Sus scrofa: one gene and its partner. The protein of the gene in region 2 binds, or shares a complex with, the protein of the main gene of each other region. Links are inferred from orthologs where the notes say so. Each region holds a gene or a part of one and is shown on either strand. Other genes may lie near its edges.

What was found.
Region 1: the proteins of CSF1R (region 2) and CSF1 are in contact, whole or in part, in a crystal structure (PDB 3EJJ), measured with the Mus musculus proteins. The link is inferred for Sus scrofa from reciprocal best matches to the Homo sapiens genes CSF1R and CSF1. Residues at the interface, in NP_001032948.2 of Mus musculus: Arg142, Arg146, Leu149, Arg150, Lys151, Lys168, Val169, Leu170, Ser172, Asn173, Val231, Gly232, Phe233, Leu248, Ser250, Asp251, Phe252, Asp254, Asn255, Tyr257, Lys259; in NP_001107002.1 of Mus musculus: His38, His41, Met42, Gly44, Asn45, Gly46, His47, Phe87, Gln90, Asp91, Asp94, Arg98, Asp101, Glu110, Arg111, Gln113, Glu114, Leu115, Asn117.

The regions. Positions count from the first base shown.
Region 1 is NC_010446.5:110,194,619-110,200,605, forward strand, and holds the start of CSF1 (macrophage colony-stimulating factor 1), read right to left. Parts: upstream 3,615-5,987; 5' UTR 3,110-3,614; coding exon 3,071-3,109; intron 1-3,070. UniProt on the Homo sapiens protein: Cytokine that plays an essential role in the regulation of survival, proliferation and differentiation of hematopoietic precursor cells, especially mononuclear phagocytes, such as macrophages and monocytes.
Region 2 is NC_010444.4:151,119,524-151,124,803, forward strand, and holds part of CSF1R (macrophage colony-stimulating factor 1 receptor), read right to left. Parts: coding exon 5,151-5,280; intron 3,676-5,150; coding exon 3,539-3,675; intron 2,960-3,538; coding exon 2,800-2,959; intron 1-2,799. UniProt on the Homo sapiens protein: Tyrosine-protein kinase that acts as a cell-surface receptor for CSF1 and IL34 and plays an essential role in the regulation of survival, proliferation and differentiation of hematopoietic precursor cells, especially mononuclear phagocytes, such as macrophages and monocytes.

The DNA of each region.
Region 1 (5,987 bases), on a different chromosome or scaffold from region 2:
CCTCAGACCTACGGTGCTCTAGGCTTCGCCTCTTATCCCAGAAGGCAGCATTCCCAAACCCAGCTTCCTTGGGCATTCCTGACCGCCACGCACAGCCTTGCTCTCCCTTGATAACAACCCAAAAGTCGTCTCCTCCAAGAAGCCTTCCCAGATCAACCCAGCCCAAGCCTGACTACACACTGAATTTCTATTAGGGACATGGGAGGTGTGCCTACCAGTCCCCATGCCAATTACACAGGAAACTCCTTGAGTGGAGGACTTGCCTCTACCCATTATTCTGTCCCTGCAACATCAGACACTGAGCCAGGCATCTTGTGAGCTGCCCACTTCTCTCAAGTTCATGTTCTTACGCTGGCTGGCTTCTAGTCTTGGAGCCAGAGATACTTTCCTGGGCCCAGCCCTTCCTCCTACCTGATTCCACACAGGTCTGGCTCTGCTACTGGAAAAACCAGGGGCCCAAACTCAGTTTCACTGGGAACCTATCCCACACCAGAAACCTTTGGAGCCCTGGGTATGTGTGTCAAAAAGATTAATCAGAGGCACTGGAGCCAGCTCTAGATCATCCCTGCCTGGCACCTGCCTATCTGAGCCCCGTCAGGCTCAGCACCAGCCAGCCAGCAAGAAGCGTGGCCAGAACATTTTCTGAGATCTCTCCCTCTGTCAGCACCCACCTGGCCCAGTAGCTGCTCCCCCGCAGAGTGATGGGACAGGCTCCTGACACCCTGTCATTCCCCTTCCTGCCTTCTTGCACAGGTCCCCTTAGCCCTCTCCTGGCCCTAGGTCTCCCCTTCTCTGTCCAGAGGCAGAGAAAGGCCCTTGGGCTTTCCTTCCCCAGCTGGATGTCACCTCCTGGCAGCTGATGCCCCCTAGTTCAGGGAAATGCTGTCAGGGTGGGGCGAGGCCTGGCACCTTCCTAGGTTCTGGGCTCTGGGCTCTGCCTCAGTAATTCAGACAAATACTGCAAACAAATAGCACATTAGAGGCTATGAAACAGCTCACAACAACATGCTGATTTGCATATAACTAAAAGCCCGAATGTTTGTCAGCTCTTAGCAGAGAGGAGAGGCCCTGGCAGGGCTCCAGGGAGGTTGGAGGGAGGAGGGGGGCACAGTGAGGCTTTGCAAGATGGGGAGAAGTTGATGGCAGAGAGAGGGAGGGGGAGGCCTCAGAGAAAGGCCCCAGAGGGCCCAGGGCCATTCGGCAGAGGATCTCTGAGGATCCCTGGCTGACCTGGGGAAGGGGAGAGAGTGGAAGGGGAGGGGGACATGGGGCTCCTCTGGGTGGCTGAGGAGGCAGCCTTGGGTGGGAACGGCTGTCCAGGCCCTCAGGAACCTGCCGTGGTTCGGGACCCATGGGAGGAAACTGGGTCTTGCAGAGGGTAAGTCTCCACCCTCCACTGCTGCCCTTGAGGCTCTGAGCCCCTGGGGGGGAAGTGGTCTGGGGGGAGGGGCCTGGGGAAGAGATGCTCAGGAAGGCAGCCACAGGCAACTCAGGATATGGTTGTTTGAGGACAGCAAGGAGAGGGCAGTGCTTAACCCCAAGGGCTGCCCAGCTTTTGGAGATATTTCAGGTTTCAGTGGGGGGAGAGTACAGCTACTATGTAAGAGGCTGACTTTGAAGGTGGCCAAAAGGGACTCCTGGAGCCCTGACTTGTCCCCAGAGGAAGATCTGGACAGGCACCCAGGGGTTAACACTCTAGCTTGCATCTGGCTGGGCTGGCTCTTCTCCCCACCCCTTTCTTCCTTCCACCCACCAGCCTTGGCCTCTGGGGCAGCCACAAGGAGTCTCTGCCTCGGGCTCAGAGAGATGCTAGGACATCGCAGTCCAGCTGGCCTTCCTCACTCAAGTCCCATCCTGTTTCATCTTCCCCATCAGTCGGGTCCTCGGAGAGACCTTGGCACGGGTGGACCCTTGGGCTGCCGCTGTCTGAAACCGGCCCCCTTTTCTATGCATTTTACTCTCCTCCTTCCTCAGAGGTCTCACTTCCAGCCCCTATTTGTCTTGTTGCCTTTCACCTCATCCTTCCTGATTTTCCCTTCTGACCCCATCTCTTCTCTCTCAGTTGGGCTCTTCCTCCTCCGTGGAAGGGTTCTTCCCTCTCACCCTATCTGCAGCCCCCTCTCTTATCCTCCAAATATTTTTCTGCTTCTCTCCCCCCTGCCCCACGACCCCAGGTTGTCCTCCAGGGTTTCACAGAAGCACACTCACTGGGAGACCACTTACTGTGCAGGAATGGTGCCACCCTGCATTGTCTAGGGGTTGCCCCAGCTACAGCCCGAGGTTGGGGCGGGACAGCCCCTGTGCAGTCCTGAGCAGCCCGCAGCCCCGGTCCACAATTCTGCAACCGCAAACCCTCCTTCCACCTCCTCTACCACCACCAAGCCCAGGATCTCCCCAAGGGACTGAACCATATTTGACAAGAAGATTCAGAGCTGGCCCCACGCAACTCTGGGGCCATGTCCCCCACAGACAGACTTGATCCAGCCACCCAAGTGCCCAACAGCTCCTGCCTGTGTGCTGGAACAAGTAGTGGCTTGCCCTGGCCCCCTTTTTTTGGGCTGCCTTGGCATTCTATAAGCTGGATGGCTCCTGAACCTTCGTCATCCCGACGTGCCCACTCCCCAGCAGGACGTGTTTATGGCCGGGGAGGAATGCCCACTGGGAAAGCACCACCCTCATCTCACAGCCACTCCGCCTGCTCCTCGTTGGAGGCTGATTCATAAGGAAAAGAAGCAAGGAGGGAGCCTCTGCGCTGCAGCTGCGAAGCCCTCTCTCCTGCCGGCGGGTGGCTCAGTGTGCCCGCCTGTGCAATGGGGTGAGCAGCCCTCCCTTTCCCGGACAAGCGCTGCAGCCCCAGGAGCAGCTGCAGGGCCGTCTCTGGTTCTAGCCGGAGCGCACGAGGGGCCTCGGACAGTCGGCGCGCAAAGATGGGATGGAAACCCGAGCCCGCGGCCCGGGCGGAAGAGCCTCGGCAGCCGGCCGCCCGGGTAGGGGCTTCCGAGGGGCCGCGCCGAGCCACGGAGCTCCCGCCCTAGCCCAGCCCGGGCCCCGAGCCGCGACCGCCGCTTACCGTGGGAGGGCAGCGCCCGGCGGCGCCCGGCGCGGTCATACGGGCAGCTGGGTCCCGGCCGGGCGCGTCGGCCGCCCGCGCTCGCTCGCTCGCTGGCCGCTGCAGAGTCCGCGCCCCGGCCGAGGGCCGCGCTGCTGTCCCGGGAGTGCGGAGGGACCCACGGCAGCGCCAAGAGCACCGAGGCAAACTTTCACTTTCCCTGAGCCGGGCTCCACTGGCCAGCTCCTCGGCACAGCCTTTTAAGCGGACTTGTGAGGCATGTGGTTTATGGGAAATCACCTTGGACAGGCGCCAGACACACACACACACATGCACACACACACCCGCGCGCGCGCGCACTGACACAGACACACACTCCAGAGGCCCACTGAACCGCCTCCCCGCCCCCACCCCGCGGGCTGGTCTTCCCCGCTAGTCTTGCAGTCGCCCTCTTTGCTGTGCTCAACGACGGCGCCTTTGAGAAAGTAACGCGGGCTCCGCCGCCTCCCGTCCCCCAGCGCGCCGGCTCTGGACAGAGCCTTGCCTTCCCTTCCGCGCTCTCCAGGCGGATTGGGTGCTCTCTCTCTCTTTTTCTAATATTCGCTTCAAGGGACTTTCCCTCTAAGCCTGAAAATTCCCAAATCTGAGCAGGAAATGCTCCGAGAGTAGGGAAAAACGCTGGAGACCAATGCGAATGCTGCAACACCTTGTGGAGCTTGAGTCAGCAAGTTTGTAGGCAGCCCTCTCCTGCCTAGGCAGCCCCCCAGCAGCCCGCCCAGCCTCTCGTCTCCCAGTCTGGAGGCAGCGTCCAGGCAGAGAGGCTAACTGCCTGGCCAGAATGGGATGGATTGTGTCCTGTGACAGGGAGCTGGGAGGCTCTGCTGTGTGCCGGGAGATGCTCCCCGGCACCAGACCTGCAGGTGATGTAAATGCTGGCTGGTACCCTGCTCCCTCCTGAGCGTCCAGACCTGGGGAGATAGGCATCCTGGCTCTAGATTTCCCCCGATGTTTCTGAAAATGCTTTTACTGAGCTGATTAATCACACTTTGTCTCTACGTGAGAATGAATTTAAACAAGGCTTAATAGGGTGAGCCTGGTAATTACAATGCCAAATTTGGGAGCTTTCTCTTTCTTCAGTTGGCTGTGATTCAATGTTTCTCGCTCTCTCTGTGTGACCACCCACTGGCAGCCCTTGGAAATACAGGGCAGTCTGGTCTGGAAGGGGCATTTCTTGTCATCCACCCTCAAGCGGTAATTTTACACCTTCGTGCCCTTGCTCATAGTGGTCCCCCAGCAAAGAACGCTCCTTTCCCCACTTGTCCTTAAGGCAAACGCCTCATCCTTCAAGGTTGAAAGCACACCACATCCTTCAGCAGCAGAGCTTTCTTCCACTCCTCGGGCGGATCAATGTTTCCTGTTCCTGTGGTCTCACTGGACTGGGCTCCTTTCTCTGCGGTCTCCCTGATCCACTGTCATTCGCTCATGCCCCACATCATTCTAAAAAGTACTTAAGGTGGTACTGAGAGTTATGTTTTGGATCATCAGATTGAAACTTCACCCCTACCCCGGACTGAGAACTTTCTCCAGGGTGGTCTCGTGGTCATTTACCTCCAAATCAAGTGCCTAGCACATGGAAGGTGCCCACTTAACAGTGACCGAATCAAATGAGGCCATTAGAGAATGATTCATTCATTTGACAAATGCACACCATGTGGCTGTGATGCGACAGGCACCAGGCTGGGCCTAAGAATGGACACGCTGACATACCTGCTTTCCTGGGCTTGGGAGCAATTGGAGCTTAAAGGGTGTGGGGAAGCCCTGGATGCTCAGAGCCTTGCGGAAGGAAGAGCAGAGACCGAGCCCAGCCAGAGGAAGGAGGCTGAGGGCTTACTTCCCCTGGGCATTGTTAAATGGGCCCAGTACAAGCCGATTTAAGACAATGGGTTGATACCATTTGCTCTTAAGGATAAGAGGTTAAGGAAGTAAAGTAAGGAGATAAACCTCTTGACTTGTGGAGCTGGGAGTAAATTCCACTGCTTCCCCTTCCCTGACCCAGCGCTGCCTCGGGCTCACTGAGGCCGGTGTGAGGATGCAGCTCTGGAAGGCAGCCTTTCTTTGTCAGCACGAGCCTCGGGTTCTTGTTCCCCCTTCACTGAAATTCTTTACACACCTGGGTTTGAACCCCGACCCCACCACTTATAGCTCTCTGCCCTTGCAGCTCTGCCCTGTCATTTGTTATGTGACTTGAGACAAACCTCTCTCAGCCTGAGTGTCTTCATCTATAAAATGGAGACATCTATTTATCTGTCTTTCTTCCTTCCTTCATGTCTTCCTTCCTTTCTTTCTGTTTTTTTAAAAATTAAAGTACAGCAGTGGATTGACAATGTGTGCCATGTTTATCTTTCTCACCAAAGTGAAGTGGTGATTTTACTTTGGTGAAAAGTGATTTAATGGGATGAGGCCTATGAAGTGTTTGGCACAGAACCCAAAGGTAGTGCTATTACTATTATTATTATTATTATCTGTGCACTCACACAGGTCTTGACTTATGACACAGAGTAGTGCTTGAGAGTAAACTTGAGAGTCCCAATGCCAAATTTAGTTCTAGCTCTGCCATTCATTTTCTATATGACTTTAGACAAAGGCCGTGATCATTTGACAATGGCGATGATGAGCCCTTTCCCCAAGGAGGGGCTAAGAGGTCAAATGGGTAACGCCTGGGGCTCTCTAGGGCAACGAACAGCCCCAAACAAGTGCTTGGTTATGAAGAAGCACTTTGGAAGCGTAGGCTATGCCACGCTGGGGAGCTTTGCCTGTGCGGAGCCGCAGAGAGATGAGCAAGGCTCTGGGTAACTGGGACTCCGCAGAGGGACTCGCAGCTGTCTCAGCTCTTGTTACCTTCAAAGGGGAGTTTATGAATCTGCTCAACTTCAGACAC
Region 2 (5,280 bases):
TTGTCTTTTTAAGCCCACACCCACAGCCTGTGGAAGTTCCCAGGCCAGGGGTCAAACAGGATCTACACCCCAGCCACAGCCACGCGGGATCCGAGCCACGTCTGCGACCTGCGCTGCTGCTCCCGGCAACGCTGGGCCCTTAGCCCACTGAGCGAGGCCGGGGCCGGAAGCCGCATCCTCACGGGTACTAGTTGGATTCTGAGCCCACTGAGTCACAACAGAAATGCCCTCCCTTTTTTTTTTTTTAGCTCTTTTTTAAAAAATTGACATAGAGCTGGTGTAGTGTCATCTGCGTCTCGGGCGTGCTGCGCCGTGTCTCACCGCCCAGCGTTCTGCTCCGTCGGCGCGACTGTAAGCTCGTCTCTATTCCCCGCAGTGTATGATACGTGCTTGCGGCTGGTTTCCCACTATAGTCTCTGTACCTCCAATGCCCCCCCCGCCCCCGCCCCGCTCTCCTCTCCCCACTGGTAACCGCTGGCTTGCTCCCTGGGAGTCTCTTTCTGTTCTAGTCACTGGCTTTATTTTTTTCAATCCTACGTCTCAGTGATGCCGTGGGTCCTTCTCTGACGGATGTCACTTTGCTCCGTGCCCTCTGCGGCCCTTTTACGGGACACGCTGCTCAGGCTCCCCCTTGTGCACCTGCTTCTCCCTCTAGGTAGCTGTTTTCCGAGTCTGTGAGCTTTTAGGGCGAGCTTCTTTCCTTCTCGCCTCTTTCTCCCTTAGCCAGCCACCTCTCTTGCCAACCATCCATCCAAACTCCCAGCATCCCCGCCACCGTGACCACCCTAATGAAGCCACCGTCACCTCTAGCTCCGACGAGCAGTCGCCTCTCACCTCTCCGCTTCTACCTGTGTCTCCCTCCGCAGAGCACCAGAGAGCTGGGTCGTGCTTTGTTCCGTCCGAGGCGGGTCACATCACTCCTTTGCCCGAGTCCTCGCCTTGGCTACAGGGACCCGCTCCTTCTCCTCCAGCCTCCCTGCTACCACCCTCCTCTCCGGTTCCACCCCGGCCAGGCCACGCTGGCCGACCCCGCCGAGCATCCTCGAGAAGGCTGCTTGCCTCTGCCCAGCACGCTCTTCTCGGAGATGCGCTTGCACCTCCTCCTCCGTCCACTTCCCGTCTTTGTCCAAATGCCAGCTTCCCGGCAAGATTTTCCTTGCGGATCAGCCCATTTTAAACTGAAAACCCTATAAAATTGATTTTTTTACACCACTGGTTTTGCTTTTTGTTTTCTCCCAGCTAGAGTATCACCTCCATGTGGGCAGGACTTTTGTAGCTGTGTCCTTACACTGAGAAGCACCCGGCCGGAAGAGTGGAGGAAGGCAAACCTCTACTGAGTGGCTGCTGTGTGCCTGCACCAGAAAACCCAGGCTTAGACCCAGAACCGGGAGCTTTTCAACATCCTCTCCTCCAACAGCCCTGGACGCTCTCGGCACAGGACGGGGCCCCAGGCAGAGCTCCCGCGCTGTCGTCCCCCCCCCCCCCAATAACATCTAACACACGAGGTGCGGCTGGACTCAAGTGACTCAGGGCCAGTCCCCCCGCCCCCCACCAAGAGACGCCCCTCTGCTCCGGATGCTCAGCCACGCTCCCGCCGCCCTCCCTGTCACTCCAGCCCAAGACCCAGACGTGGTCTTGGCTCCTTCCCCTTCGTCGCTTCCTCCCAGCGGCCACCAGGCCTTGTCCAGTACCCCACACAGGTCGTTCGTCTGACACGCTCCTGGGCCTCACCGCAGTCTGGCGCCCTTAGCCATCGCTGGCCTGGACCCCTGCGCTCACCGCCCTGATGGGTCTCCAGCCCCTGGTCTCCCATCCTGTCCACACGACGTCGGGCTGAGCCCCTCAGATCACATCTCCCCAGGCACACTGAGCACTTACTCCGTGCCAGGTCCCATGCTGAGTACTTCAAATTACACGCCTACATCTATGTCCGGTCCATGTCTACACCCTTAACCCTGTCTAAATCCACGTCCACACCGAGAGCTTCACAGCTGTCACCACAGGCCTATGAGACAGCTCTGGCCACCTCCCCACTTTGCAGGTGAGGCAGAGGTGACGCCGTCTCCTACGCCACTGGCAGAGCCAGGGGGAGTGCGGCCCGGGAGTGCGGGCTCCCGACCAGCGCGCGTGGCCCCTCTGCACACGCTCATCGCACCGCGCTCTTGAAGCCCTTCCACACCCTCTCAGCAGATACGAGGCCACTACCCATGGCCTGGCCGTGCGGACGCCGCCTTCAGCTCCGCCTTGTGCGGCGGCCCTCCCGCGCCGGCGGGTCCCTGCTGCTGTCCCAAACGCTCTCGCTTTCTCTGCCTTCGAGCCTTGCTCATGCTGTTCCCTCTGCCAAAAGAGCTGTTCCCTTCCTTTCCCATCCGTCTGCCGGGCCGACCCGCCTCCATTCTGGTCCCAGCTTAGAGGGCGCGTTGTCCAAGGCTCTTGGGTTGGGGTCCCCCTGGTGTTCCCAGGACATCCCACACATCCCCGACCACAACGGGTGACGGCCGTCTGTTCATGTGTCCCAGGGACACGAGCGTCCCAGGCTTGGAGGGACGACTGAATGGGTCGACGGTGAAGCCCGGGGGGAGCCACTGGACCCCGGCCCCCAAGCAGAACGGAGTGATGCTGGAAGCCGAGGCAGCCACGCCCTGGGGTTGCTCCTGGGTGGGAGGGGGTTCTGGGAGGGCCGTGGAGAGACGCCCCTAGCCAGGCTTTCCCGCGAGCTGGTCACCAGCGTCTCCTTCTCTGCATCAGCCCCCTCCCCCCGCCCGGGCCCCGCCCATCCCCCCACCACCCGATGCTCACCTACCACCCGGAAGACCATGGAGGTGGCGTGCGTGCCCCGGGCATTGGTGGCCATGCAGGTGTAGTTGCCGGCGTCTTGGAAGCCCACGGGATCGAGGTCGAGGGTCAGGACTTTTTGGTAACGGTTGTCGTGGAAGTCGGATTGTTGAGAGATGGCCAGCTGCAGCCAGAAGGAAGGGACACCGCACTCTGAGGGGTTGAGCCCCCGGAAGCTGGGGGACCCTTTAAAAGTCACCACTGGCCTTTTCCTCGACTCTTTCCTGGAACTCTGGGCCTCCGTTTCTCTATCTGCACAGTGGGACCGACACTGGCCCTGCGCTCCCAGGGTTGTGGTGTAGACAAAGTGAGACGCGCTGCGTGTGCGGACGGCACGGCGATGCCGCGGCTGGGGGAGGACGGCCTTGGGAGCGGCCTGAGTCCATTTCCTGCTGAGAGTCCGGCCCCACCCGCCCTCAGTCCCAGGCATCCAAGGTGGCCTAGGAACCTCTTGCTACATCAGAAGTGAGCGGACAGGTGGCTCTTGTCCGCCGGCAGGGGCGCAGGGAGTAGAGAACCCCCCACCCCAAGACGCAGCAGCGCGACCCTGCCTGCTGCTTCTGCGTCAGCCCCTGACCCGCAGCGGATCTTGGGCAAGTGCCCTCCGGCCTGGGGGAGGTCCCGCCCTGGGCCCTGAGAGCGGTGGGTGGGTCGGAGGCGGGGCTGGGGGCTGCGGCTGCGGGGCCCGCCCGCGGGCACCGACCTTGGTGTCTCCGCGGTGGAGGAAGACCTCGAAGTGGACATCCACGTCGGTGGCCGAGCACACGATCTGGGCGGCCTCTCCCCGAATGCGCACCAGCTCTGTGGGCTTCAGCGTCAAGGTCGGGGGGCCTGGGATGACTGGGGGCGGGGCGGGGGGAACCCGTGAACGCCCAGGCCGGAGCCATCATTCTGCGCCCACCACCGGCCGGGGTCCCGCCCCACATCCTGGGTGGCAGCCCCGACGCCTCCATCTCCCCACACCTCCTGCCTCCCAGACAGAGCTGGGCCCACCCGCCGCCCTCCCAGCCGCACCCTCCGTCTCGGCTCGGGCTCCTGCTGCCCCCGGCCCAGGCGAGCTCTTCACGATGAAATCAGGACAGTGCCTCTCTCGTGCCAACCTGGAGCGGCTTTCCCATCACTCTCAGAATAGAAGCTCCAGCCCCACCTCCCAGGTCTGTCCCTGTGCCTGCCCACCTGTCCCCGTCCGCTCACCGTGCTGCCAGGGCACAGCCTTCCCCGCCACCACCCCAGACCGTGCCCTGGGGAGGCTTCTCCCACAGTGAGGGGCGCTGGCCCCCGCCTCTCAGACCTACGGCTCCAATCCCCCTCAGAGAGGCCTCCTGCGACCGATTTAGCTGAGCCGGCCTCGTCCGACCCCAGTGCCTCCAGCTGGGCTTCTTGTTCAGCACTACGGCTGCTGACTTGCCTTTTGTCCCATCTGGAACCCTCATCAAGGGCAAATCCAGGAAGGTAACACCCCTGGCAGCTAGCCCGGTGCCCCACACGTGGTAGGCACTGAATGAACATCCGAGGCTGCTGTTGTTGAAAAATCACCTGATCTCCCCGGGGCGGGGCCCTCGTGGCCTCATGCATGGCCCCTGAGAGGCTCCTGGCAGCGCTGGGGCCCGGGCTCTCTCTGCCAGTGCACACCAAAGGCATTCGGGGCCTCTCTGCACTTGGGTGGGGGCCTTGGGCCTCCGGGACAGGTTTCGTGGCCTCAGAGCACAGGGCTGCTCTGACTGTGGCCTCATCACATACCCTGGACCCCAGTCTCAGGCCCAGGTCCTGCGCCTGGGTTCCCGCGGGCTCACTCGGCCCTTCCAGAAACCAGAATCGCCTTGGGCAGGGACGGGGGAACACAAGAGAGACGTCACCAGCACTGTCCCCAGGGAGGTGTCCCAGGCGCCTGCCGCCACGCCCCATCACCGGGCTCTCTGCTCCCCAGCGCCCGGCACCGCAGCTGGTGCCAAGCCAGAAACCCACGAGGCGGGTGCGGGAGCGCTTCGGGCCTCCCTCTGTTCCTGGAACCTGGGGAGCCTGTTCCCACCGCGGGCGACCTGCAGTTTCCTCTTTGCCTGTTTCTCATTTCAGCCCCAAAACGCGTCACCCTCCCCGCAGGGCTCCTCCCTCTCGACTCCGCCCCCTGCTCAAGGACTTTCTCGGCCTCTCCCACCGAGACCACCCTGCCCTGCGCTGTGGGCTGGTACGCGGCTCCGTCCCTGCACCCAGCACCTCGCCACCTCACCCCAGCAAGGGTCCCCTGCTGACTGTGGGGCAGGGAGGGAGCGGGTGATGAGGGGACCCTGGCCCTCCCCGTCCCCCGGCCCACACACCTTTCTGCACGTTGAGCCGGACGCTGTTCCACACCACCCTGCCGTCTACCAGGACGGTGCACGCGTAGTCCTGGCCCTCGATGAACTTGGCCTTGTGGATAGTGAAGCCATGCCAGGGCGAGAAGGAGTA